Linked DNA regions of Macaca mulatta. The protein of the gene in region 5 interacts with the protein of the main gene of each other region in a biochemical or structural test. Links are inferred from orthologs where the notes say so. Each region holds a gene or a part of one and is shown on either strand. Other genes may lie near its edges.

The links.
Region 1: the proteins of FYN (region 5) and KHDRBS1 form a complex in vitro, tested with the Homo sapiens proteins (4 studies listed by BioGRID and IntAct, with this or other methods). The link is inferred for Macaca mulatta from reciprocal best matches to the Homo sapiens genes FYN and KHDRBS1.
Region 2: the proteins of FYN (region 5) and FYB1 form a complex in vitro, tested with the Homo sapiens proteins (2 studies listed by BioGRID and IntAct). The link is inferred for Macaca mulatta from reciprocal best matches to the Homo sapiens genes FYN and FYB1.
Region 3: of the proteins of FYN (region 5) and SNCA, one has a biochemical effect on the other in vitro, tested with the Homo sapiens proteins (3 studies listed by BioGRID). The link is inferred for Macaca mulatta from reciprocal best matches to the Homo sapiens genes FYN and SNCA.
Region 4: the proteins of FYN (region 5) and FASLG form a complex in vitro, tested with the Homo sapiens proteins (4 studies listed by BioGRID and IntAct, with this or other methods). The link is inferred for Macaca mulatta from reciprocal best matches to the Homo sapiens genes FYN and FASLG.
Region 6: the proteins of FYN (region 5) and HRAS form a complex in vitro, tested with the Homo sapiens proteins (2 studies listed by BioGRID and IntAct). The link is inferred for Macaca mulatta from reciprocal best matches to the Homo sapiens genes FYN and HRAS.

What each region holds. Positions count from the first base shown.
Region 1 is NC_133406.1:208,851,414-208,854,913, reverse strand, and holds part of KHDRBS1 (KH domain-containing, RNA-binding, signal transduction-associated protein 1), read left to right. Parts: intron 1-1,867; coding exon 1,868-1,992; intron 1,993-3,094; coding exon 3,095-3,211; intron 3,212-3,500. UniProt on the Homo sapiens protein: Recruited and tyrosine phosphorylated by several receptor systems, for example the T-cell, leptin and insulin receptors. Once phosphorylated, functions as an adapter protein in signal transduction cascades by binding to SH2 and SH3 domain-containing proteins.
Region 2 is NC_133411.1:40,218,986-40,222,485, forward strand, and holds part of FYB1 (FYN-binding protein 1), read right to left. Parts: intron 3,471-3,500; coding exon 3,350-3,470; intron 732-3,349; coding exon 572-731; intron 67-571; coding exon 1-66. UniProt on the Homo sapiens protein: Acts as an adapter protein of the FYN and LCP2 signaling cascades in T-cells. May play a role in linking T-cell signaling to remodeling of the actin cytoskeleton. Modulates the expression of IL2. Involved in platelet activation.
Region 3 is NC_133410.1:99,154,553-99,158,808, reverse strand, and holds the start of SNCA (alpha-synuclein), read left to right. Parts: upstream 1-1,456; 5' UTR 1,457-1,645; intron 1,646-2,289; exon of another isoform or gene 2,290-2,355; intron 2,356-2,588; exon of another isoform or gene 2,589-2,792; intron 2,793-2,964; exon of another isoform or gene 2,965-3,009; intron 3,010-3,492; exon of another isoform or gene 3,493-3,626; intron 3,627-4,060; 5' UTR 4,061-4,085; coding exon 4,086-4,206; intron 4,207-4,256. UniProt on the Homo sapiens protein: Neuronal protein that plays several roles in synaptic activity such as regulation of synaptic vesicle trafficking and subsequent neurotransmitter release.
Region 4 is NC_133406.1:30,156,216-30,160,234, forward strand, and holds the start of FASLG (tumor necrosis factor ligand superfamily member 6), read left to right. Parts: upstream 1-1,219; 5' UTR 1,220-1,261; coding exon 1,262-1,606; intron 1,607-2,157; coding exon 2,158-2,203; intron 2,204-4,019. UniProt on the Homo sapiens protein: Cytokine that binds to TNFRSF6/FAS, a receptor that transduces the apoptotic signal into cells. Involved in cytotoxic T-cell-mediated apoptosis, natural killer cell-mediated apoptosis and in T-cell development.
Region 5 is NC_133409.1:16,778,736-16,782,235, forward strand, and holds part of FYN (tyrosine-protein kinase Fyn), read right to left. Parts: intron 1,759-3,500; coding exon 1,655-1,758; intron 687-1,654; coding exon 537-686; intron 1-536. UniProt on the Homo sapiens protein: Non-receptor tyrosine-protein kinase that plays a role in many biological processes including regulation of cell growth and survival, cell adhesion, integrin-mediated signaling, cytoskeletal remodeling, cell motility, immune response and axon guidance.
Region 6 is NC_133419.1:424,686-428,746, forward strand, and holds the start of HRAS (GTPase HRas), read right to left. Parts: upstream 2,801-4,061; 5' UTR 2,785-2,800; intron 2,760-2,784; exon of another isoform or gene 2,624-2,759; intron 1,753-2,623; 5' UTR 1,703-1,752; coding exon 1,592-1,702; intron 1,309-1,591; coding exon 1,130-1,308; intron 979-1,129; coding exon 819-978; intron 724-818; exon of another isoform or gene 642-723; intron 121-641; coding exon 1-120. UniProt on the Homo sapiens protein: Involved in the activation of Ras protein signal transduction. Ras proteins bind GDP/GTP and possess intrinsic GTPase activity.

The DNA.
Region 1 (3,500 bases), on a different chromosome or scaffold from region 5:
TCTGATATTTAGAATGTTCCACTGATTTTAGGGAGTATATGTATTTTAACTATTCTCAGTGAATCATATAAGCTTTCAGTTGCTGCTCATTCCTTGGGCACTTTTCCCTCATCTCTGTTAGAACTCCTGTTATAGCACTTAACTATACTTCATTGCCACCCCTATAGTCTGGGAACTCCAGTATATAAACAGTGAAGACAGAGACCAGTCTGACTCGCTCTGTTGTATCTCCTGTGCTTTGCAAGACAGATGCCTGGCTCTTAGTAAGTCCTCCATAGTGATTAATGATTGTACCTATTATAGCTCTCCCTTCATCTGCCTCTCCATACCGTAGGAAGCACTCAAACACTTGCAGTCACTCAATGAATGAAGTTCCTTAATGGTAGGAAATCTTTTTTTTTTGTTTTTGTTTTGTTTTTTGTTTGTTTGAGACGGAGTCTTGCTCTGTCACCCAGGCTGGAGTGCTGTGGCCGGATCTCAGCTCACTGCAAGCTCCGCCTCCCGGGTTCCCGCCATTCTCCTGCCTCAGCCTCCCGAGTAGCTGGGACTACAGGCGCCCGCCACCTCGCCCGGCTAGTTTTTTGTATTTTTTAGTAGAGACGGGGTTTCACCGTGTTAGTCAGGATGGTCTCCATCTCCTGACCTTGTGATCCGCCCGTCTCAGCCTCCCAAAGTGCTGGGATTACAGGCTTGAGCCACCGCGCCCGGCCAGTAGGAAATCTTTTTGTATGCCAAGTTTCTATCTAATGAAACTGTCTTAACCTGTGAATTGAAAGTACTTTTGGGTGATGATGGATATGTCTGTGGCCATAATGGTGGTGATAGTTTCATGGGTGTATACTTATCTCCAAACTCATCATGAATTGTATACATTAATTATGTATGGGTTTTTACATATCAGTTATACTTCAATAAAATGTTTTTTTAGAAAGTACCTTGTGGCTGGGCCGGGCGCGGTGGCTCATGCCTGTAATCCCAGCACTTTGGGAGGCTGAGGCAGGTGGATCACCTGAGGTCGGGAGTTCAAGACCAGCCTGACCAACATGGAGAAACCCCGTCTCTACTAAAAATACAAAATTAGCTGGGCATGGTGGCACATGCCTGTAATCCCTGCTACTTGGAAGGCTGAGGCAGGAGAATCGCTTGAACCCAGGAGGCAGAGGTTACGGTGAGCCAAGATTGCACCATTGCACTCCAGCCTGGGCAACAGGAGTGAAACTCCGTCTCAAAAAAGTACCTGGTGCATTTTGTATCGTTTAGACATTGGCTGAATTTGGGCTAGATAATGGTGACAATATATTAAGTACTTTATGAAAAATTGCCTTTAATTAGGCATATCTACATATTTTATTAACTTCTCTTACGTCACACAACTAGTGAGTAGCAGAGTAAGAACAAGGTCTTTCAGACTCTTAAGGACTAGTATCTAGAGTACTAATGTCACTGTGGAACTTTAATGGAACTATCCATTGTATATTTAGATTATTGATTTTTGCTTTTTTCAAGGTAAGATTATATTTTGTCTTGATGCAGATTTTAATTTTTTGTTTGTTTCTTTATTCTCCTTTCCCCATCTCACCCAATTAATTTTGTTAAATCGATTTAAGAAACATTTAAATGTCTCTATTCTCACGTGAGGCTTCAGGTGAGGTTAGAAGAGCACACTACTTTTATTAGAAGCAGGCTTTGGGCTTTCTAATCAACTTCATATAACTTTAGTACTTTCAGCTAGTTTATTTCTGAAATTGGCACATTCATGTGTACTATTTGGTCTCACTATATGGTACTTCATGTTATTGCTTTAAGCAGACTTCAAAATTTGCTTTTATTTACCAGAGCAAAAATTTAAATTGTTTTTCCTGTTCAGAAATTGAGAAGATTCAGAAAGGAGACTCAAAAAAGGACGATGAAGAGAATTACTTGGATTTATTTTCTCATAAGAACATGAAACTGAAAGAGCGAGTGCTGATACCTGTCAAGCAGTATCCCAAGGTAAGGCAAAAAGTGCCTTGCATCTTTGAGTTATCTTTATAGTTACGAGAGAGTCATGGACTCCTGGGGATTGTGATGCTTTAGAAACTTAAGCCTGTGAAGCTTCTCTTTCATGCTTGCAGTACCTGTTTCTGGCAATTGAAATATCTAAGTTCTTAACTAAACATAGTTATAGCCAGGAAGGAAATGTAATAATCTTTTTATTATCAAAAAGTTTCTTTCTCTAATGACTGCTCAGGCTACAAGTTCAAAGAAAAAAAAAAAATAAAACCTGAAGAGTTGCTCTCTGTCAAAAGACTAACCTGAAATCTAAATAAAAGGAAATATAATACAAATCCTCAATTGGATGAAGTTAATTTTATTTTCTTACTAAAAGTTTACTTTTAAGTAAATGCTTTTTTTCTTCCTTTTTTTTTTTTTCTTTTTTTAGGAAAGCAATTAGTTACATTTAGTTTATCCAGCGTGCTATCAAAGGGTGCTATATAGTCTCTTCTGCTCTGAGGTCACTGCGTTAACAATGTTTATGTATGTTAAGGCATGCATAAACAGGCACAGTGGCTCATGCCTGTAATGCCAGCACTTTGGGAGGCCAATGCAGGCAGATTACTTGAGCCCAGGAATTCAAGACCAGCCTAAGCAACATAGCAAAACCGTATCTCTACAAAAAATACAAAAATTAGCCTGATATGGTGATGTGCACCTATAGTCCCGGCTACTCCAGAGGCTGAGGCGGGAGGATCACTTGAGCCCAGGAAGTCGAGGCTGCGGTGAGCCATGATCATGTCACTACACTTTGGCCTGGGCAACAAAGTGAGAGCCTGTCTCAAAATAAAGTAAAAAATAAAATAGTAAAGGTCTTAGTGTATTATGGAAGATGGCCAGAATACATCAGAAAAGCCAAATTCAGGTCTAGGAACTGCCACTTTCTAGTTTCATAATCTTAAACTAATCACTTTATTAATATGGCTTCAGCGTCCTTCAGTAAAACGGGAATGGTAATACTCTACCTTTGCAGGGTTGTTTAAAATCAAATGAGGTAATTTATGTGGAGATGTTTTTATATAGTAGCATGTATATTTAGAAATCCTTTATTTTCTGTCAGTTCAATTTTGTGGGGAAGATTCTTGGACCACAAGGGAATACAATCAAAAGACTGCAGGAAGAGACTGGTGCAAAGATCTCTGTGTTGGGAAAGGGCTCAATGAGAGACAAAGCCAAGGTAAGCTCACATTAGTGAGGCAAGAGGACATCCTAATGCCTTCTACTTGCCCAGAATGCAGTATAGATGCCTTATAGAGGCAAGAATATTGTGTATGTACAGAATGTGGCTCCTTTAAGTGTGCATTGGGTGCAAGAGATTATACACCAAGTTAATTTACTTGCTTGGCAACCCTGGAAGAGCCTAGGTGTGCCCTGGTGATAGTTTTCTTTTGGACTTTTGACTGCATAGTAATGGACAGAGCAGTAGCATCTTGTGCATTGGTAGGATTGTCTGGGAAAACTTGAAA
Region 2 (3,500 bases), on a different chromosome or scaffold from region 5:
GAGAGTCTTTTTTCAGTTTCAAAGAATCATAGTCGATCTCTACAGCAGTTGTTTTAATATAGCCATCTACCAAAAAGGGAAAGGCTTATGTTCAGGCAACTGTAGTTTAAATATTTTAAAGTTGTGAATAAAATATCAATCGCACATTTGCTCTTTAAACTTTCCCCTGATTTATTTTCTTATAGTTCTGATTTGTAGACCTCCCAGGTAGACCCACATTTTACTGTACTCTGTCAAAGTCTAATCCTGTTGTAGTTTAATGTAAGCCTACCTTCTATTTTAAATATTCTAAAGTGATTCACATGAAGCATTTTTTCTTTTTAACATCAATGAAAAACCTAATGCTGTTTGTTCCTCCTGGAATAATATAAAACTTTACATTGTTTCCCACAGTGAAGATAACAGATGAGGTGAAGACGGAACTATACCTGCCATTTAACATTTTCCTCCCTTTGTCCACTCTGTAAAGTACTCCTAACTTGGTGCCTATGAGGAGTTCTGGAGGAACATGCACATTGAATATTGCCTCACAAAGAAAACACTTTGAAGCCATAGAAAAATTTGCACTCACATGAACCCCTGGCTGTTCTGCCCAGCCATTTTCCTTCTGGGTTGTCTGTGATACGGATGATTTCAATTTGCTCTCCTTGCTTGAAGCTCAGTTCATTCTTTCCTCCTTTGACATCACAACAAGCTTTTGCAAGATGGATGACTTGAATAGGGCCTGTTAGCTGCAAAGAGAAAACAATAATCAGAAAAGATTTCCTTATAATTTAGAAAATCTTCAAGGAATGCAATTTTGAAAGATACTAAATCTACAACTTGTGAACCTACCTATAACCAACATTTACAGGGTTTAACTAGAAATTGGGGGCTGGGCGCAGTGGCTCAAGCCTGTAATCCCAGCACTTTGGGAGGCCGAGACGGGCGGATCACAAGGTCAGGAGATCGAGACCATCCTGGCTAACGCGGTGAAACCCCGTCTCTACTAAAAAATACAAAAAACTAGCCGGGCGAGGTGGCGGGTGCCTGTAGTCCCAGCTACTCGGGAGGCTGAGGCAGGAGAATGGCATAAACCCGGGAGGCAGAGCTTGCAGTGAGCTGAGATCCGGCTACTGCACTCCAGTCTGGGCGACAGAGCAAGACTCCGTCTCAAAAAAAAAAAAAAAAGAAAAAAAAAGAAAAGAAATTGAGGGTGAATGCTTTTCTTACAGGAGGGGTTAGGAAAAAATTACAGGGGCCAAGCAGGACCCGTTAAGGACAGGTGAATATGTGCATGGGGTCAGGAGAGTGAGGCAGGGATCTGTTGGCCTAGGAATTCTGCAAGAGGCCTGTAAAGGCAGCCCCCAATAACTGAATAGCACTTATGTACAACAATCCATGCTGTGTGCTACGTGTCTTTATGGAATATGCCAGGATTCCATTTGGAAGATGGAGTTTTTTCCCCTTTCATTGTTTGTAAAATTGAAGCAGACATTACCTGCTGTAAACAAGACAAAATTTCAGAAATGAGCTTGCAAATCAAAAAATAGCAAGCAAATGTTACATGAGGTCTTTAAAATTAATATTCTGAATAGTATGGTGGCTTATTGATAGAAGGGTAATGATCTTGGTTAGACCATGAATCCCATATTCTTAATTTTCTAATCCTAAATTGGTGTCTTTTCAACAGAATTTCTTGAATCTTTTGATATGCAAATATGCAAATATGCATTACGACTTTTGAAGAAGCTCTACCTTTAATTTATTGAATTTATGATGACATTAATTATAAACATATATCATTATCATGTACCACTAAGAAATAAAGAAAAGAATGTAAGTTAAATTATGATATGCCATGATGCTGATGAGGCTCAGTTCTCATATTTATTTAATTTTTTTTTTTTACCTATTATGTGTTATCATCTTGTGAAAGGAATATAGGTGGTGAAGTCCTAGTCTTGACAGACTTTTAAGTTCATATTTAATGGTATGATTTCCATACCCTATCTTTTCTCACTAAAAATATTATTTGAATGAATGAGTGAAATAATGTAAAGCTGATTTCTCCAAAAGAAACATATGGAAAAACTTCACATAATTCCTTTAAATCTACAAACAAGCTCTCCATGGAAAGTATGCTATATAGATTTTTCATAAATTAACTGAAATTATTTTTTCCCTTGAAAATATAAACATTGGTAGTCATGCATTCTGTGTAAGTAAAATGTTCTAATATTAATACTGTAATCATAATTTTACTCATATATAGCGAGCTTTTTCAAAATCAAATGAGAATCTTATGATACAGTGCCTGCTATGCATTATTTTAGTTCCGTAACACACTTTCTGGAGTAGTATCATTTATTCTCCCTTAAAAGATTAAGCATCAGTGGCTCAGAAAAGTTAAGTGATAAGCCCAAGATTACATAACTTGTATGTACCACTGGAATTTGAATCAGTTCGTCTAACTGACTTAATGCTATATGTTTTCCTTGCACCATGCTTTGAACCTTTGCTTTAATACAATAAATATTCTGGGAAGTTATATATAAATCATTTTTTAAAAATTTGAGCCACATATTAAATGCTCCAGAGAAATAAATATTTAAAGAAAGCATACTGTGAATTCTTTTTGAAAGAATAATTTTGTAATTCAGATAATCACCCTAAATATGTCTGACATGCCAGACCCATGCCACATGAGCCAGGTCATCAAAGATAGTGTAGCCAGGAGAAAATAGCCCATGAGTGTAGCGTTTACTGGTGGTAGTAATGGTAGAAGACACACAATTACCAGAGATCAGAGAATACAGGGGTCAGAATCCACATAGACAAAGAGGGATGAGAAACAGCAGGTATCAGAAGTCAGCATGTACACAGACTTAAAATAAAGGCAATAATGTAACTCATGTTTAGATACTAGCAATTAGAGTAGCTCATGGAAATCTTATTCTGAGACAGGTCTGGTTCACCCTGGAGACACCTGTGTCCAATACCCCACTATAATACATACCATAGGGATATTTATGTGTGTGATGCTAATTCATAGTAGAAGCAGGCTAATATGAAATGCATTATGGGGAGAGCCAAGATGGGTTTGAAAAAGTAAATATTCATTCACTCAATCCACATAAATTTCCTGGGTGCCCACTAATTATGAACCACCATATTTTTAAAAATTTTATTATATTAGTTAAGGGATAAGATGGTGTATTGGACAAAAAAGTACTTTTATGAAGATAATTACTCTTTAGAAAACAATGAGTAATTCTTCAACTATGTAAGGTTTCAAGAATGGTACCCCTTTTGTGTGAAAGGTATAAAAAGATGTTATTCTTTCACCCATTAGCAAGCAAGCCCTTACTTTAAATTTCTTCTTTATTTCTTGTTCTTTCTTTTCTTTCTCTTTCTGTTCCTTTTTCTCCAGCTCTAACCTCTTCTTTTCCTCCTTTTCTCTTTTCTTCTCTCTTTCTTTGGATGCTTCTCTGTGAATAAAAATTGTTAGGTTGTTTTCG
Region 3 (4,256 bases), on a different chromosome or scaffold from region 5:
TGACTAAATAACATAGTACATTAGTCCTTTGCGAAAGTACTAACAAATTACCATATAAAAGTGTAGAATCATGTCAAATGTTATAAGAAATGCAACTGTCCAAAAATAATTATCTCACATTGGTCTGGTAATGAGACCTAAAATATCGCATTTTATTTACCTATTTGACTCAAAGCACCAGGTCTCAAAGAGGTCACTGTTATACTATAAATATGTCATATGAAATAATATATTAAATAATTGTTGTAATAGCCTATTGAAGTACTAGTTGTAATAAGACACAATGGAAAACTTACACTATTAACAATAATAAAAAGAAACAACAAAAAGCAATAAAAAACAAACCACCGATTCATGCAATGACATGAATCACCTCACAAATACTATGCTGAGTAAAAGAAGTCAGACAGATATAAAAAAGTTTATACTACGTGATTAGACTTTTATGACATTCTAGAATATGCACATGAAGGGTGCAAGGTAACTGTCTGGAGTGATGAAAATGTCCTGTGTCTTCAAAATAGTGTGGGTTACACCAATGCATGGTTTTTTCAAAACTGATTTAAAGGGACACAACATCTGAGCATTTCACTAGGTGTAAATTACACTGAAATTTAAAAGAATCGTCTAATGACATTGTGGTTATTTTTAAACAGTTCTTAAATTTTGTGGATGCATACTGAATGTTTACAGTTGAAAAGATGTATATAAAGCTTGAATTTTGTGAAAAAAAATAGGGAGGATTGGTAGTGATAAAGTGAGTGGACTTATGAATGAGACATGATATGCCATGCATAGAAAAAATGTAAAAGTTGGGTGATATTCACATGGGAGTCCTTTATTCTTTCTACTTTTGCGTATGTTTGAATATTTCCCATAACAAAAAGTTGAATATAGGGCGATCACCTGAGTTCATCTCCTCATTTACAAAAAATAAAACTGGAAACAGAAGGAGAACATAACTTGTTCAAGGTCTCCAAGCCAGACAACAAACTAGCTCCCAAGTCCAACCTTCTTGCTCTGGTCCTAAGCAAACACAAACTATTAATATGAGCTACTGCGTTATGGAAAGTCTGTTTTTCCAAAGGGCAGACCAATAGTTCAAGGAAGAGTTTAAGTAATAAAAATTTGTAATCTTACTTTCATGTTTTTCTATTTTCCACTGAACACATAGGCATTATCTTCTATATGTCTTTCATGTATAATCATTTGTTTACTATTCCTTGTGGTTTTAAAGTTGTTTTGTATGTTTACATTTGATTTTACTCAAATTTCAGAATCCAAATGAGTGCAAGAATCAGACAAAGCATTAGCTACAAACATAAAAACAATTTTTAAAAAACACAGCAAAAACGAGCTGTTGTCCCCGCCCCCCCCGCCGGCCCCCACCAGTGCTTAACTAATCTTCGGAATCCAGGCACAGAAAGCAAAGGCTTTCTGCTAGTGGGAGGAGCTTGCTTCTCCATTCTGGTGTGATCCAGGAATAGCTGTCTTCCAGTTCTGAAAGAGGTGAAAATGTGTTAAGCGATGCAAAAATTGTCTTGAGGTTCGCGTGTGTACGTCTGTGTGTCTGTGCATGTGGTGGGTCGGGGGAGAGAAAAGGGGATGTCAATTCTGAGGGCAACGAGAATTAGAAGTCAGAAAGGTGAGTGGCGTGTAGCATCTCCCTTTCAGAAGGGGCTGAAAAAGAAATTGGATATGATGGTCTGGTAGGGTAAATCACGCTGGATTTGTCTACCAGACCATGCACTTAGGTCTGCAAAGTAAGTCCCATTTCTAGAGCGAAAAGCCTTAGGACCGCTTGTTTTAGACGGCTGGGGAATATTTATTCCTCGTTCCGCTGATGGGAAAATCAGCGTCTGGCAGGCGCTGATTGGTGGAAAGGAAAATGGTGATAGTGGGGTGGGAAGAGGATTTGCTGAGCCTCCTCCTGCCTCCTCAACCTGTAACTCTTCCTTAGTAGTCTCCGATTCACCCGCGGGACCCTTTCGAGCTCGACCTGGATTAAGAGCAAACGAAAATCTTGAGGATATTTGAACTAAAGCGACCCTTAACGTAGCCTGTGACCGTGATTAAATGTCAGCGATGCGAGGGCAAAGTGCTCTCGGCGGTGCGGTGTGAGCCACCTCCCTGCGCTGCCTGTCTCCCCAAAGGATAGGCTCTGCTCTGGGTGGTCGACCCTCAGGCCCTCAGCTCTCCCAGGTCGACTCTGACGAGGGGTAGGGGGTGGTCCCAGGGAGGACCCGGAGGAAAGGCGGGGACAGGAAGGGAGGGGAATGGGAAAGAGGGAGAGTCGTCAGCCCAAGCCCAACCGCTCCCAATCGCCACAAGAGTGCCCGTGACCCTGAACTTGAGGTGAGGCGCAAAAGCGCCCCCACTTTCCCGCCTTGCGCGGCCAGGCAGGCGGCTGGAATTGGTGGTTCACCCTGCGCCCCCTGCCCCATCCCCATCCGAGATAGGGAACGAAGAGCACGCTGCAGGGAAAGCAGCGAGCGCTGGGAGGGGAGCGTGGAGAGGCGCTGACAAATCAGCGGTGGGGGCGGAGAGCCGAGGAGAAGGAGAAGGAGGAGGACGAGGAGGAGGAGGACGGCGACGACCAGAAGGGGCCCGAGAGAGGGGGCGAGCGACCGAGCGCCGCGACGCGGGAGTGAGGTGCGTGCGGGCTGCAGCGCAGACCCCGGCCCGGCCCCTCCGAGAGCGTCCTGAGCGCTCCCTCACGCCTTCCCTTCAAACCTTCTGCCTTTTTCTCCATCCTCGTGAGCGGAGAACTGGGAGTGGCCATTCGACGACAGGTTAGCGGGTTTGCCTCCCACGCCCCCAGCCTCCCGTCGTCGGCTCACAGCGGCCTCCTCTGGGGACCGTCCCCCTCCCGGTGCCGCCTCCGCCCTTCCTGTGCGCTCCTTTTCCTCCTTCTTCCCTATTAAATATTATTTGGGAATTGTTTAATTTTTTTTTTTTTTAAAGAGAGGTAGGGAGGAATCGGAGTTGTGGAGAAGCAGAGGGACACAGGTAAGTACCTGTGGATCTAAACGGGCGTCTTTGGAAATCCTGGAGAAAGCCGGGTGGGAGAGGAATGGTCGTGGGCACCAGGAGGGGGTGGTGCTGCGGTGAGGACCTGCTGTGCCAGGTCTCTGGGAGGTGAGTACTTGTCCCTTTGGGGAGCCTAAGGAAAGAGACTTGACCTGGCTTTCGTCCTGTCAAGGGCTTCTCCCCAAGGGCTGAGAGATTAGGATGCGTCTCCGGGATCCGCTTTTCCCCGGGAAACGCGAGGATGCTCCCTGGAGCGTAAGCATCCAACTTTTATTTCTCTCTTACCTGAAATCCGTCTGCCCGCTCTCTTGGTTTTTCTCTGTAAAGTAAGCAAGCTGCCTTTGGCAAATAATGAAATGGAAGTGCAGGGAGGCCAAGTCAACAGGTGGTAAAGGGTTAACAAGTGCTGGCGCGGGGTCCGCTAGGGTGGATGCTGAGAACGCCCCCTCGGGTGGCTGGCGCAGGGTTAGAGACGGCCCGCGAGTGTGAGCGCCGCCTGCTCAGGGTAGATATCTGAGGGCGGGGGTGGATGCTCGGATGTATTAGAACCAGCACCCTTGGGCTCGCTGTTTGCCTGAGGTTGAACCACACCCAGAGTGAGTAGTTAGTTCTCTTGCCTACGCCTCTCCACCATCAACCTGTTAGCCTTCTTCTGGGATTCATGTTAAGGATGCCCCAGACCCTAAGCCTCCAGCTTCCATGCTTCTAACTCACACTGTTACCCTTTAGACCCCGGGAAGTTAAAACAGGAGTGACTCTTTTCATGCAACTCCACTTCTGAAATGCAGTATTAACAACTCAGAGGATTCATCCTAATCCATGGTTAGGTGGCTAGACTTTTACTAGCCAAGATGGATGGGAGATGCTAAATTTTTAATGCCAGAGCTAAAAATGTCTGCTTTGTCCAATGGTTAAATGAGTGTACACTTAAAAGAGTCTCACACTTTGGAGGGTTTCTCATGATTTTTCAGTGTTTTTTGTTTATTTTCCCCCAAAAGTTCTCATTCAAAGTGTATTTTATGTTCTCCAGTGTGGTGTAAAGGAATTCATTAGCCATGGATGTATTCATGAAAGGACTTTCAAAGGCCAAGGAGGGAGTTGTGGCTGCTGCTGAGAAAACCAAACAGGGTGTGGCAGAAGCAGCAGGAAAGACAAAAGAGGGTGTTCTCTATGTAGGTAGGTAAACCCCAAATGTCACTTTGGTGTTGGTTCATGACTGATGGGTT
Region 4 (4,019 bases), on a different chromosome or scaffold from region 5:
TATTTTAATGTGTATTTAAAATGTATATATATTAAAATATTTTTAATATTGATATTAAAAGTGGTCAATTGGGCTGAGTGCAGTGGCTCATGACTGTAATTCCAGCACTTTGGGAAACTGAGGTGGGAGGATGTCTTGAAGCTAGGAGTTTGAGACAAGCCTGGGCAACATAGCGAGTCCCCATCTCTACAAAAATAAATAAATAAATAAATAAATAAGTCAGGTGTAGTGACTCATGCCTATAATCCCAGCTACTTAGGAGGCCGAGGCAAGAGGATTGCTTGAGCCCAGGAGTTTGAGGCTGCAGTTAACTACGATAGCACCACTCCACTCCAGCTTGGGTGACAGAGTGAGACTCTGTCTCTATTTAAATAAATACGTAAATAAATAAGCTGGGCAAACAATGAAAATGAAAACATTGTGAAATACAAAGCAGTTCTGTGGGTTCCACTGTTTGCAGCCTCTGATCTAATTTCTAAAGAGGGTGTAGCAGGTTTTTTAACCTGTAAATTATGGTGATTGGCAGGTCAGGGTAAATGGTAGTTGTGTGTGGGGAAGCGATGATGGCAACAGGTGTTTTCCTCCTGCAAAAACGAAAATGTGGGAGTGACTTCTCTGGCCATGGCTCCATGGTCTCTCCCCTCAGAGCCAATTTCAGTAAAATTTTTATAGTTTAAAAAATATGGTTCTGAACAATTTTTGTTAGAGTTATTTTGGTATTTTTAAATAGTTTTTTGGTCGTATACATGGTAGAATTCTTAACATTATACAATTGTAATGTATAAAAAAGGATACAATTATAATTCATAAAATTATAGCCCCACTGGCCATTCTCCTGTAGCTGGGAGCAGTTCACGCCAACAGGGCTCTACCCCAATGCTGACCTGCTCTACAGGATCCCAGGAAGGTGAGCATAGCCTACCAACCTGTTTGGGTAGTACAGCGATAGCAACTGAGGCTTCCAAGGCTTTCGTCAGAAGATTGTGGGCGGAAACTTCCAGGGGTTTGCTCTGAGCTTCTTGAGGCTTCTCAGCTTCAGCTGCAAAGTGAGTGGGTGTTTCTTTGAGAAGCAGAATCAGAGAGAGACATAGAGAAAGAGAAAGACAGAGGTGTTTCCCTTAGCTATGGAAACTCTATAAGAGAGATCCAGCTTGCCTCCTCTTGAGCAGTCAGCAACAGGAGTCCTGTCCTTGACACCTCAGCCTCTACAGGATTGAGAAGTAAAACCGTTTGCTGGGGCTGGCCTGACTCACCGGCTGCCATGCAGCAGCCCTTCAATTACCCATATCCCCAGATCTACTGGGTGGACAGCAGTGCCAGCTCTCCCTGGGCCCCTCCAGGCACAGTTCTTCCCTGTCCAACCTCTGTGCCCAGAAGGCCTGGTCAAAGGAGGCCACCACCACCGCCGCCGCCGCCGCCACTACCACCTCCACCGCCACCACCACTGCCTCCACTACCGCTGCCACCCTTGAAGAAGAGGGGAAACCACAGCACAGGCCTTTGTCTCCTTGTGATGTTTTTCATGGTTCTGGTTGCCTTGGTAGGATTGGGACTGGGGATGTTTCAGCTCTTCCACTTACAGAAAGAGCTGGCAGAACTCCGAGAGGTAAGCCTGCTGGCAGACTGCTGTGCCCTGGAGGCACCAGGCATAAGGGGGTGGAGGGCCCACTGCCTGGCTTGCAAAGTGCTTTTCAATCCTTTTTTTTTTTTCTTAGAAATGGGTTGTTCTAGTTATTCTATTCTATAGGCAGAGAAATGGAGGCTCATAGGAGTGAAGGGAATATTTTTTATTTTGTAAAGAATCAGAGCCCAACAGTTTTTCTTTCCTCAGTTGTCAACTCAGTCTGTTGAACCACTTACTGCCTCATACCTAGTGATTTAAGGAGTAAAAAACAAACAAAACTTTTAAGTTTTGCTTGGAAGTAAATTTGTTCAGATGACCAAACTAAATCTTGAAAATACTTAAAATACTGGTACGATTTCAAATCACAAAACTGAGGGACAGTGAAGCAAAATTGCTTGACCAAAGCCTGAGTCAGCAAAAGTTCTGAGGTATTTGGATTCTCTTTCCAGGGCTTGGTTTATTTGACGATTCTGTCTCTTTTGCTTAAATAATTTTATTTTTATTATGCATCTTTTTTCTTTCTCTTTTACTAGTCTACCAGCCAGAAGCATACAGCATCATCTTTGGAGAAGCAAATAGGTGAGTCCTTTTTCACATGTACATTGAGTTCCTAAAGATGATCCTCAGCACTGAAATATGTTAATGGAATGCCTTATATTCTGTCCTACACTTTGGCTTATGTATACTATGAGAGGAATCCTGGCTAATTCGGAATCTCTGGTCAGTATGATTCCTTGAGCTGCTTTATAAATGTGAAGTGAATTGAATTGCTCACAATCAATATAGCTGAGCACGGCACACAATTCAAAATCACTTCCGCTTGACTTTGGAAAGAGACACACATATACAACCGTGGACTTTTGCCCCCTGAGCAGTGGTTCCAGGCCTGTCCCCTTCCACAGACACCCTGGTCCTGGCACACATGCCAGTGGCTATGACTTCTGGGAAGAGAAGGCGAAGTGAAGGCAGAGACAGATGTTTCTGAGAAACGTCCTCTCCTCTTTTAAAGCCTCTAAAGAGATTACAGTGAAACTTTATTTACAAAATGTTTTATAGGACGTAAGCTTTTAAAATGTGGCTAATCAATTCCGTACATTAGAATGGTTTTTCTTGAAGTCACTGAGAAGCTGAAGGGAAGACTTCAGCCATCATTCAAAGGATGTTCAGCTTCAGAGGCAGTCATGAGGTACCCTTGATCACAAAGGAAAATCCTTTGTATGGGAGCTAGGGCAAGAAGACGATATGTTGGAACACTGATCTCGTGAAATTTCAGGGCATAGTTTTGCAAGCTCTGTACAGATGGATTTTACAATGTGCTTCACTAGCCTAAGATTCATTGAAATTTTAGATTTAGATTTACAATGAGATTCACTGAAGGTTTAGAGTTGGAAGGAAGCTTAGAATATCCAGTCCAGCCATTTCATTTTTTTGGAAGAGAAACAAAATGCCAGACGGATTAGGTGAATATGCCCAAGACCCCTAGTATGGAACTGGGGCTAGAAGGAACACAGGCTCTTGATGCCTTGTCACCTACAGGGCTTTCCGGTACTGGACTGGTGCCTCATGAAGTAGGGAAACTCCTGTCTCTCTGTAGTGAGCATGGAGTGAGAAATAGAGGAAAAGCAGGATACCTCTGCAAAGACTATAGATAGATCGCATCCTTAGAAACTCAGAATAAAGAAGAAGGCAGCACTGGCCATCTATTAAGTGAAGTAAGTTTCAGTTTCTCTGGATGTGGCTACTGCAGGCAACCCAGTCGCCTGTCTACTGTCCTAGACTGTTAAGTTCTTATAGGAGCCACTGTTGGGAAGCTCTGGCCCCTGAGTCTGTGTCCTAATCCTTAAATGTTAGAAAGTCCATATGTACACAAGCAGAGTGGAAATATTTGCTAGAAAAATAAAGCCTCTGGAGGATGTCTCAAATAAGATCATTTTGAAAACCTGTGGAATGTGCCTGGTCTGATAGGTACCTAAGCATTCATCTTTTACCTCCTCTCTGGAGTCAATTTAGTGATTAAAAATCAAATGACCAGACGAGTCATGTCCATCTACCCCAGTAAGCAATTATCTTCTCTAGATCAACCCAGATGAACCAGAAATTGTTAAATTATCACAAGGAAATCAAATCAGTAACTTTACTAATAAGAAAAGAGATGCAAACTAAAAATAGGGAACACCAATTTTCATCAAATTAGTAAAGTTAACAAAAACCCAGACTGACAAAGATTTGAAAGAAAAGTGCTGTTTAAACATTAGTTTCAGCCAGTATACATGTAAATTGCTATAACTTTTTCTGAAGAGCACTTTAGAAATACATATCAAAAGCTTGAAACTAATAGTTTATGTTGTAATCCTATCACTAAGAATTTCTCTTAAGAAAATAATCAGAGATGTGC
Region 5 (3,500 bases):
AGAGCTGTGGGTCGTGTAAGTCTAAGTCTAGTTAGGAAACAGCAGTATTGGTGGGGAACATGATAAATGGCTTGCATGAGAATGAAATGTACGTGCAGCTATTCCTGCAACAGTGCTGAGTGTAAAGTGATGGTGGAAAGCCAGTATTCCTTGTAGGAGTCCCCATGTAAGTGCCCTCCGAGAGACTCCTTCCTCATATGCAATGCAGGGGGAATGGGAAAAGACAACTTGAAGTATTTTAGGATGAAGATAAAAAGACAAACAACTTTTACAATTTAACCTATTGCTTTCTACTTGGGAAACAAAAATATTATAGGATCTTTGGACAAACATGTGGAACTAATAATAACAACTACAGTAGAACAACAGCAATAGAACCTATTCAGCCAAGTCCCACCATTAAGGGCTGGCAAAGAAAACATATTCTAGGAGTGATTTTGTACATAATTAGTTTTACCCTTTCCACTTTCCTGCTCTGGGCCTATCCACTCCCTCCAGCATCCACACGGTTAGTAGGCAGTTAGAATTCAGGTTACCTGAGTAATGTTGTACAAGCTGCTGAAGGGTTTCAAACTGGGCCCGGGTGGTAATGTAGTATCCACCGTTGTCAAGTTTGCGAATTTTATAATGTTTGACGTGGTCTCCTTTCATATCATCCCAATCGCGGATGGAAAGTGAATAGGCACCTGGTAAACAAGCAAAGCATTAGCAGCACTAGTCATTTAGACTATTAGCTTGCTTTTTAGGCCTCATTTTCTTGACTCTGATTAATAATTACCAAGGATACACACACACATGTACACACACACACAGCATCTCCACTCAGGAACAGGAAGAAGATGCTTCTTGATGTCCTGCAAATGTCAGAAGATATTAGCAGTAAAATAATTCTGCACTTGAGACTGAAAGCTTCCTGGATATTTTTCTTAAACACACTGCTCAGTCACCCTTGTTGTATAATACAGCGTAGACTCAATTCCGACACTCCTTCCCTCCAGGGTAGAGAGAAGAACCACGATGCACGGCTGAGTTTGCTTCCCCTGTCTTCTCTACCCAGGGGCATACTGGGAGGTAGCGGCAGCATGTGCAAAAGAAATCTAAGGCTTTTTTCTCTAGAAGTGAGCTCCAAGCTTCTGTTTTACAACACTTTCCACAGGAACAGATAATCTGGTGGATTAAGCTAGAGGCCCCTACTCTTTTCTTCCTTGACCTATCTCCTCTTGTGGGCTGTAATGAGTGGTTAAATAATGAAAAGTCCAACAGTTGGAGGAAGAGAAGTGAAGTCCTCAGTTATTTAAAAAACAAAAGGAAAGCAAAAACAACCCATATGACTGGCACCCGAGGAACTAAGAGTTTCAGAAAATCGAAATTCTAAAGGACTTCTGAAAATTCTATGATCTTGTGTGCCCGGAGCAGTAAAGCCGCCCCCAGCCTGTTTCAGGAGGAAGGTCTTGATTTGGAGCCTCTGTAGTTCTTTTGGTGCTGTCTGCAGTTCTAGAGCCTGGAGGCAAGACTGAAAACAGGACTCCACTCATAAGGCAGGGAGGATATGTGCCATTTTAAAAACCTTGTACATTACAGATAAGCCTTTCATCCCCTCTGACTAATCCACAGATTTGAATGACAAGCCAACTTCTTCAACTCGTTATCTTACCTTTGGTGGTTTCACTCTCGCGGATAAGAAAGGTACCTCTTGGGTTTCCAAAGGACAATAGCTGTCGCTCAGCATCTTTTCGGCCAAGTTTTCCAAAGTACCACCTTTAAATGAGATCAAGGAAAGAAAATACTTCGTAATAGTCATTTACAAAATGCAACAGCGTAGGCTTTTTTTTTTGCCCATGAATTCCCCTCACCTCCGATTTAGTCCTTAGCCTTTCCCTGTACGTATTTTTTCTAGCTTAATTCAGTTCCTTTCCAATCTATCCTGGATTCTATCCCTAATTCATCTCTTTCACTCTTTTAAAAAAATCAGATTTGAATTGTGGGTTGTTTTCCTCCCCTCCAGACGTGACCAGAACTGGTTTGTGTTAAAACCGCCATCTGTATGCAAAAAAACCCAGAAATCGAAGACCTTGATTTGAAATGGCAACTGCATGAGACCCTCTCCACACTTATTTAAAAGACTCTAGTCTGGGCATGGTGGCTCACGCCTGTAATCCCAGCGCTTTGGGAGGCCGAGGCGGGCAGATCACCTGAGGTCAGGAGTTTGAGACCAGCCTGGCCAACATGGTGAAACCTCATCTCTACTAAAAATACAAAAATTAGCTAGGTGTGGTGGTGGGCACCTGTAATTCCAGGTACTCGGGAAGCTGAGGCAGAAGAATTGCTTGAACCTGGGAGACCCAGGTTGCAGTGAGCTGAGATCGTGCCATTGTACTCCAGCCGGGTGACAGAACAAGGCTGTGTCTCCAAAAAAAAAAAAAAAAAAAAAAAAAAGGCCAAGCATGGTGGCTCACACCTGTAATCCCAGCAGTTTGAGAGGCCAAGGCGGGTGGATCATGAGGTCAGGAGATGGAGACAACAATCCTGGCTAACACTGTGAAACCCCGTCTCCACTAAAAATGCAAAAAATTAGCTGGGCGTGGTGGTATGAGCCTGTAACCCCAGCTACTTGGGAGACTGAGGCAGGAGGATCGCTTGAACCTGGCAGGTGGAGGTTGCAGTGAGCCAAGATCGTGCCACTGCACTCCAGCCTGGGTGACAGAGTGAGGCTCTGTCTCAAAAACAAACAAAAAAACAAAACTCTTGAATCTCTTGATATCTGAGCATTATTAACTGCTGGGAAATAACAAAACACAGCCTCAATGTATATGAAGATAATTAACAAGCATTAAAAAAAGTCAGAATAGATAGATATGATATGAATAAAGGAATAGTATTTTCAGTAACTTCCTACCTATAAGAATTCTGAGAAAAATGCCCGTGAGTACTTATTTGTATTTTGCTTTCCCCCAGGTGTGAGGACTTGGATAAGTAAAGGCATTTGCCAGCACCTGGATTGTGATCTGTGTACATCATTATCTTCTTCTTCCTCTTTTTCTGTTTTTTTCTTGAGACAGGGTCTCACTCTGTCACCCAGGCTGGAGTGCAGTGGCATAACCACAGCTCACTGCAGCCTTGACCTCCCCAGGCTCAAGCAATCTTCCAACCTCAGCCTCCTGGGACAACAGGTGCACATCATCACACCAGCTAATTAAAAATTTTTTTTTGTAGAGGCTGGGAGTGGTGGCTCATGCTTGTAATTCCAGCACTTTGGGAGGCTGAGGCAGGCAGATCACCTGAGGTCAGGAGTTCGAAACCAGCCTGGCCAACATGGTGAAACCCCAACTCTAATGAAAATATAAACAATTAGCTGGGCATGGTGGCATGTGCCTGTAATCTCAGCTATTTGGGAGGCTGGGGCATGAGAATTGCTTGAACCAGGGATGTGGAGGTGGCAGTGAGCAGAGACAGGGCCACTGCACTCTAGCCGGGGGACAGAGTCAGACTGTCTCCCTATG
Region 6 (4,061 bases), on a different chromosome or scaffold from region 5:
TCAGGAGAGCACACACTTGCAGCTCATGCAGCCGGGGCCACTCTCATCAGGAGGGTTCAGCTTCCGCAGCTTATGCTGCCGAATCTCACGCACCAATGTGTAAAAGGCATCCTCTACTCCCTGGAAAAGGAGGAATGGGATCAGGAGGGACAGGCCTGTGGCCCCCTGCCTAGGTGAGGGGTTCCCTGCTGTGCGATCAAGCCGTGCCTGGCCCAAGGCTCCCGACTCCACCAGCCACTTCCCCAGGCCCACCACACACACAGGAAGCTGGGCTCTGGTCATCTCGAAGAGCCCAGGGCCACCTGCACCACGCTACAGCAGCCCCTCAAAGGTCAGGGTGGCCCAGGACCCTCCTGAACTCCAGATCTGGCCAGGGTTTGACCACCCTGCACCCAGCTCTCATCTGAGCTATGGCCAGTGTCCCCAGCAGCCTCACTAAGACTCAGAACCAACAGGTGCCCGTGGGACACTCTGGGGACAAGAGGGGCTGGGCCCCAGGGTCACCGCTCCGGCCTGGCTCAGGGCAGCTCTCCCCAAGGACCTCCGCCTTCCCCGGAGCTGTGTCGGCCCAGGACTGCAGGGCGTGAGCCCAGACCCCGGCCCTTGCCTCCCTCACTGCCCTGCCGTCCCGGGAGACTTACAGCGCGAGGGGCCGCTGGGTCACATGGGTCCCGGGGGGTCCCAGAGGGTCCCGGAGCTGGAGCCAGAGCCAGAGCGGCTGCCCTGTGTCAAGGGAGAGGGGTGAGTGAGTGCTGCTCCCTGGCTGGGGCGGGGCGGGGCGAGTCCCTGGCTACCTGTGGGCTGGAGAGCTGCCTCACCTGTCGCGTCTTGGCCGAGGTCTCAATGTAGGGGATACCATAGCTTCGGGCGAGGTCCTGAGCCTGCCGAGACTCCACGGTGCGTGCAGCCAGGTCACACTTGTTCCCCACCAGCACCATGGGCACGTCGTCTGAGTCCTTCACCCGCTTGATCTGCTCCCTGGGAGGAAAAGTGAGAGCTGGCTATAGGGGCTGCAGGCACGACTGCATCCAGGACATGCACAGAGAGGACAGGAGGCCCCTGTCTGGGCACAGCCGGCCTGACCCCACTTGTGCCTCGTGGGCTCCCGGGCCAGCCTCAAGGGGTTCACCTGTACTGGTGGATGTCCTCAAAGGACTTGGTGTTGTTGATGGCAAACACACACAGGAAGCCTTCCCCCGTGCGCATGTACTGGTCCCGCATGGCGCTGTACTCCTCTTGGCCGGCGGTGTCCAGGATGTCCAACAGGCACGTCTCCCCATCAATGACCACCTGTTTCCGGTAGGAGTCCTGCAGGAGGACAGAGCTCAGGGACCCCTCAGGACCCTCCATGCGGGGAGTTCACAATGCCAGCCTCTCCCTGTACCTCTCATGCCCCTCTCATGCCCCCTCATGCCCCTCTCATGCCCCCTCTCCTGGGGTGCTGAGACGAGGGGCTCCCCTTCTCTGGAGAAAGCAGGAGACAGGCCCAGAGCACCATGCAGGGCCAGGGGCCGCAGCCACCCCTATCCTGGCTGTGTCCTGGGCTCGCCCACAGCAGCTGCCGGGACCTGGACGGCGGCGCCAGGCTCACCTCTATCGTGGGGTCGTATTCGTCCACGAAGTGGTTCTGGATCAGCTGGATGGTCAGCGCACTCTTGCCCACACCGCCGGCGCCCACCACCACGAGCTTATATTCCGTCATTGCTCCTCAGGGGCCTGCGGCCCGGGGTCCTACAGGGTCTCCTGCCCCACCTGCCAAGGATGGTCCTGCTCAGCCAGGCCCAGGCCCCACAGGGCAGCTGCTGGCAGAGCCATCTGAAGAGCAAACCCATAGCGGGCCCTGGGTCCCAACGCCAGGCAGCAAGGACTGCAGCGTGCCTACCTGTGCAGCTGCAAACCAGCGCGGGGGAGGACTGTCGCCTCGCCCCCACTTGCTGTTAAGGACCCAGTGAGGGGAAAAGGGAGCCAGCCTCCAAAGGCAGGGCTGACAGCTGAGCGCTCTCAACCAAATTAGAAGCTGCTGGGTCGGCAGAAAGACTAAAGGGAGGCGCCCGAGGGCTGAGGTTACCGTCCTCCTAAACAGGTCTGGCCACGGCGGAGCGCGCCACGGCGTGCCCGGGCAGGCCAGTGCCAGCCTGCAGGCCCCGTGGCGCTGGTGCCTCCGACAAGTATTTGCTGAGCGCCTACTGCGTGCTAGGCGCCGCTGAGGGGAGGGCAGACCCGGGCAGCGCCCCGCGCCCCCGGCGGGGAACCGGGGGCATCTTTCAGCCACAGAAAGCTGGAAAAGACAGAGGGGCTCCTGGGAAGCAGGGGCTGAGCCACAGGAAGGGGCCGAGAGGCGGCGCGGGAGACCCGGAGAGGGGAAGGGCCCCGGGGCTGAGGCCCCCGGCCTCGTCCGCGACCTGTGATGCTGAATCGGGGGTGCCCGGGCGTGCCGTGGCCGCGGCCGCCTCCGCCCAGACGCGCCTGGTTATGAGGGCGCCGGGCCCGAGGCTCCCGGGGACGCCGGCGTGAGGACCGTGCCCAGAGCGAGGCCACGGGCGGGGCCCGGATTCCCGCAGGCCCCAGGGACTAAGGGGCCTCAGCCCGCCCCCGCCAGCCGCAGCCCCCGACGCCCGCTCACCTGTGCCTGGGGGCCCCGCCCGGCCCGGCCCCACCCACCCACTACCGCCGCCGCAGCCGCTCACGCCCGCCGGTCCCGCGCCCCCGGCCCGCGCCGCGCGTATGGCTGCCGCCTGGGGGCGGGGAGGGCGCGCGGCCCGGCCGACCCCGGCCCGCACTCACCGCTCAGTGGCGCGACTGCCCCCGGGGCCGGGGCCGAGGCCAGGGCGGGGCGGGGGCGGGGGCGCGCGGTTCTCCCCGCGCATGGGCTCCGTCCGCGGCGGGTGCGGCTGGGGCTGCAGGCGCAGGGAGCGGGCGGCGGAGACTCGACCGGGCTCGCGCACGCCCCACCCCGCGCCCGTCCGTCAGCCCGGCGCGACCTACCATTGGCCGCGCTACACCAGGCCCCGCCCCGCCCCGGTTGGCTGAGCGGCCCGTCTGTCAGGAGCCGCGGTCGGGCAGGGCTTCCGGGAGCAACGCGGGAGGCGGAGCCAGAAGGGCCGCGGCCTCGGGGGGTTGGGCTAGGCCGGCGAGCGGAGGCAAGCTCCGGGTTGCTCAAGGAGGGCGAGGGAGCAGGTGTCTGGGGGCCTGCGGCGGCATATCCGAGCAGGGCCGTGGACTCTCCCGGGAACAGGCCGGCGAGAGAACCCGACTCAGCGGCGCCCGTGCACTCGAGGCCCTCCCTGCGTCCGCAGCGCGGCGTCGCCCACCGCGGAGGTCCCGGGGCTCCGGCTGAGGAAAGGCTGGGATCCGTCGGGACCAAGGCGGGCCGCTCGGAGCTGAGGGCCCCCGGGTGGCCGCGGGGTCCGGTTGCCCGGCTCCCCTTCCGCGCAGGTGGAGTGGCCCCGCACCCGGACGGTGCGCACCCCGCCTCCTCCGCGCACCCCACCTACCACACGCACCCCAGCTCCCCTACTCCCACCTCAGCCCACCCCGAGGACGCCTTGCAGCTCCGGTGGGGTTTCGAGCGGCAGGCGCAGCCGTGCTCCCTGGGGCCAGGCGTGAGAACGCCCCCTCCACCACTTCTCTTACTTGGGCCTGCGTGGCAGGCGACCCTGCCCGCTCAGTCCCCCCAGACTTGAGGTTCCAACCATGCAGAAGCTCAGCGTGGTGCAGTTAAACGGTACCTACAGGTTGCCACAGGAGAGCGAAGTGCCCAGGGCTCACCCCAAGCACAAAGACCACATCCTAGCTCTTTCAAACCCCAAAAGACGTGTTTTTTTTTTTTTTTAACATTTTTTTAAATTGCAAAGGAATCAGAAATACATTCTCATTAAAAAGCAAAAGGGCCATCCTGGCTGACACGGTGAAACCCCGTCTCTACTAAAAAATACAAAAAACTAGCCGGGCGAGGTGGCGGGCGCCTGTAGTCCCAGCTACTTGGGAGGCTGAGGCAGGAGAATGGCGTGAACCCGGGAGGCGGAGCTTGCAGTGAGCTGAGATCCGGCCACTGCACTCCA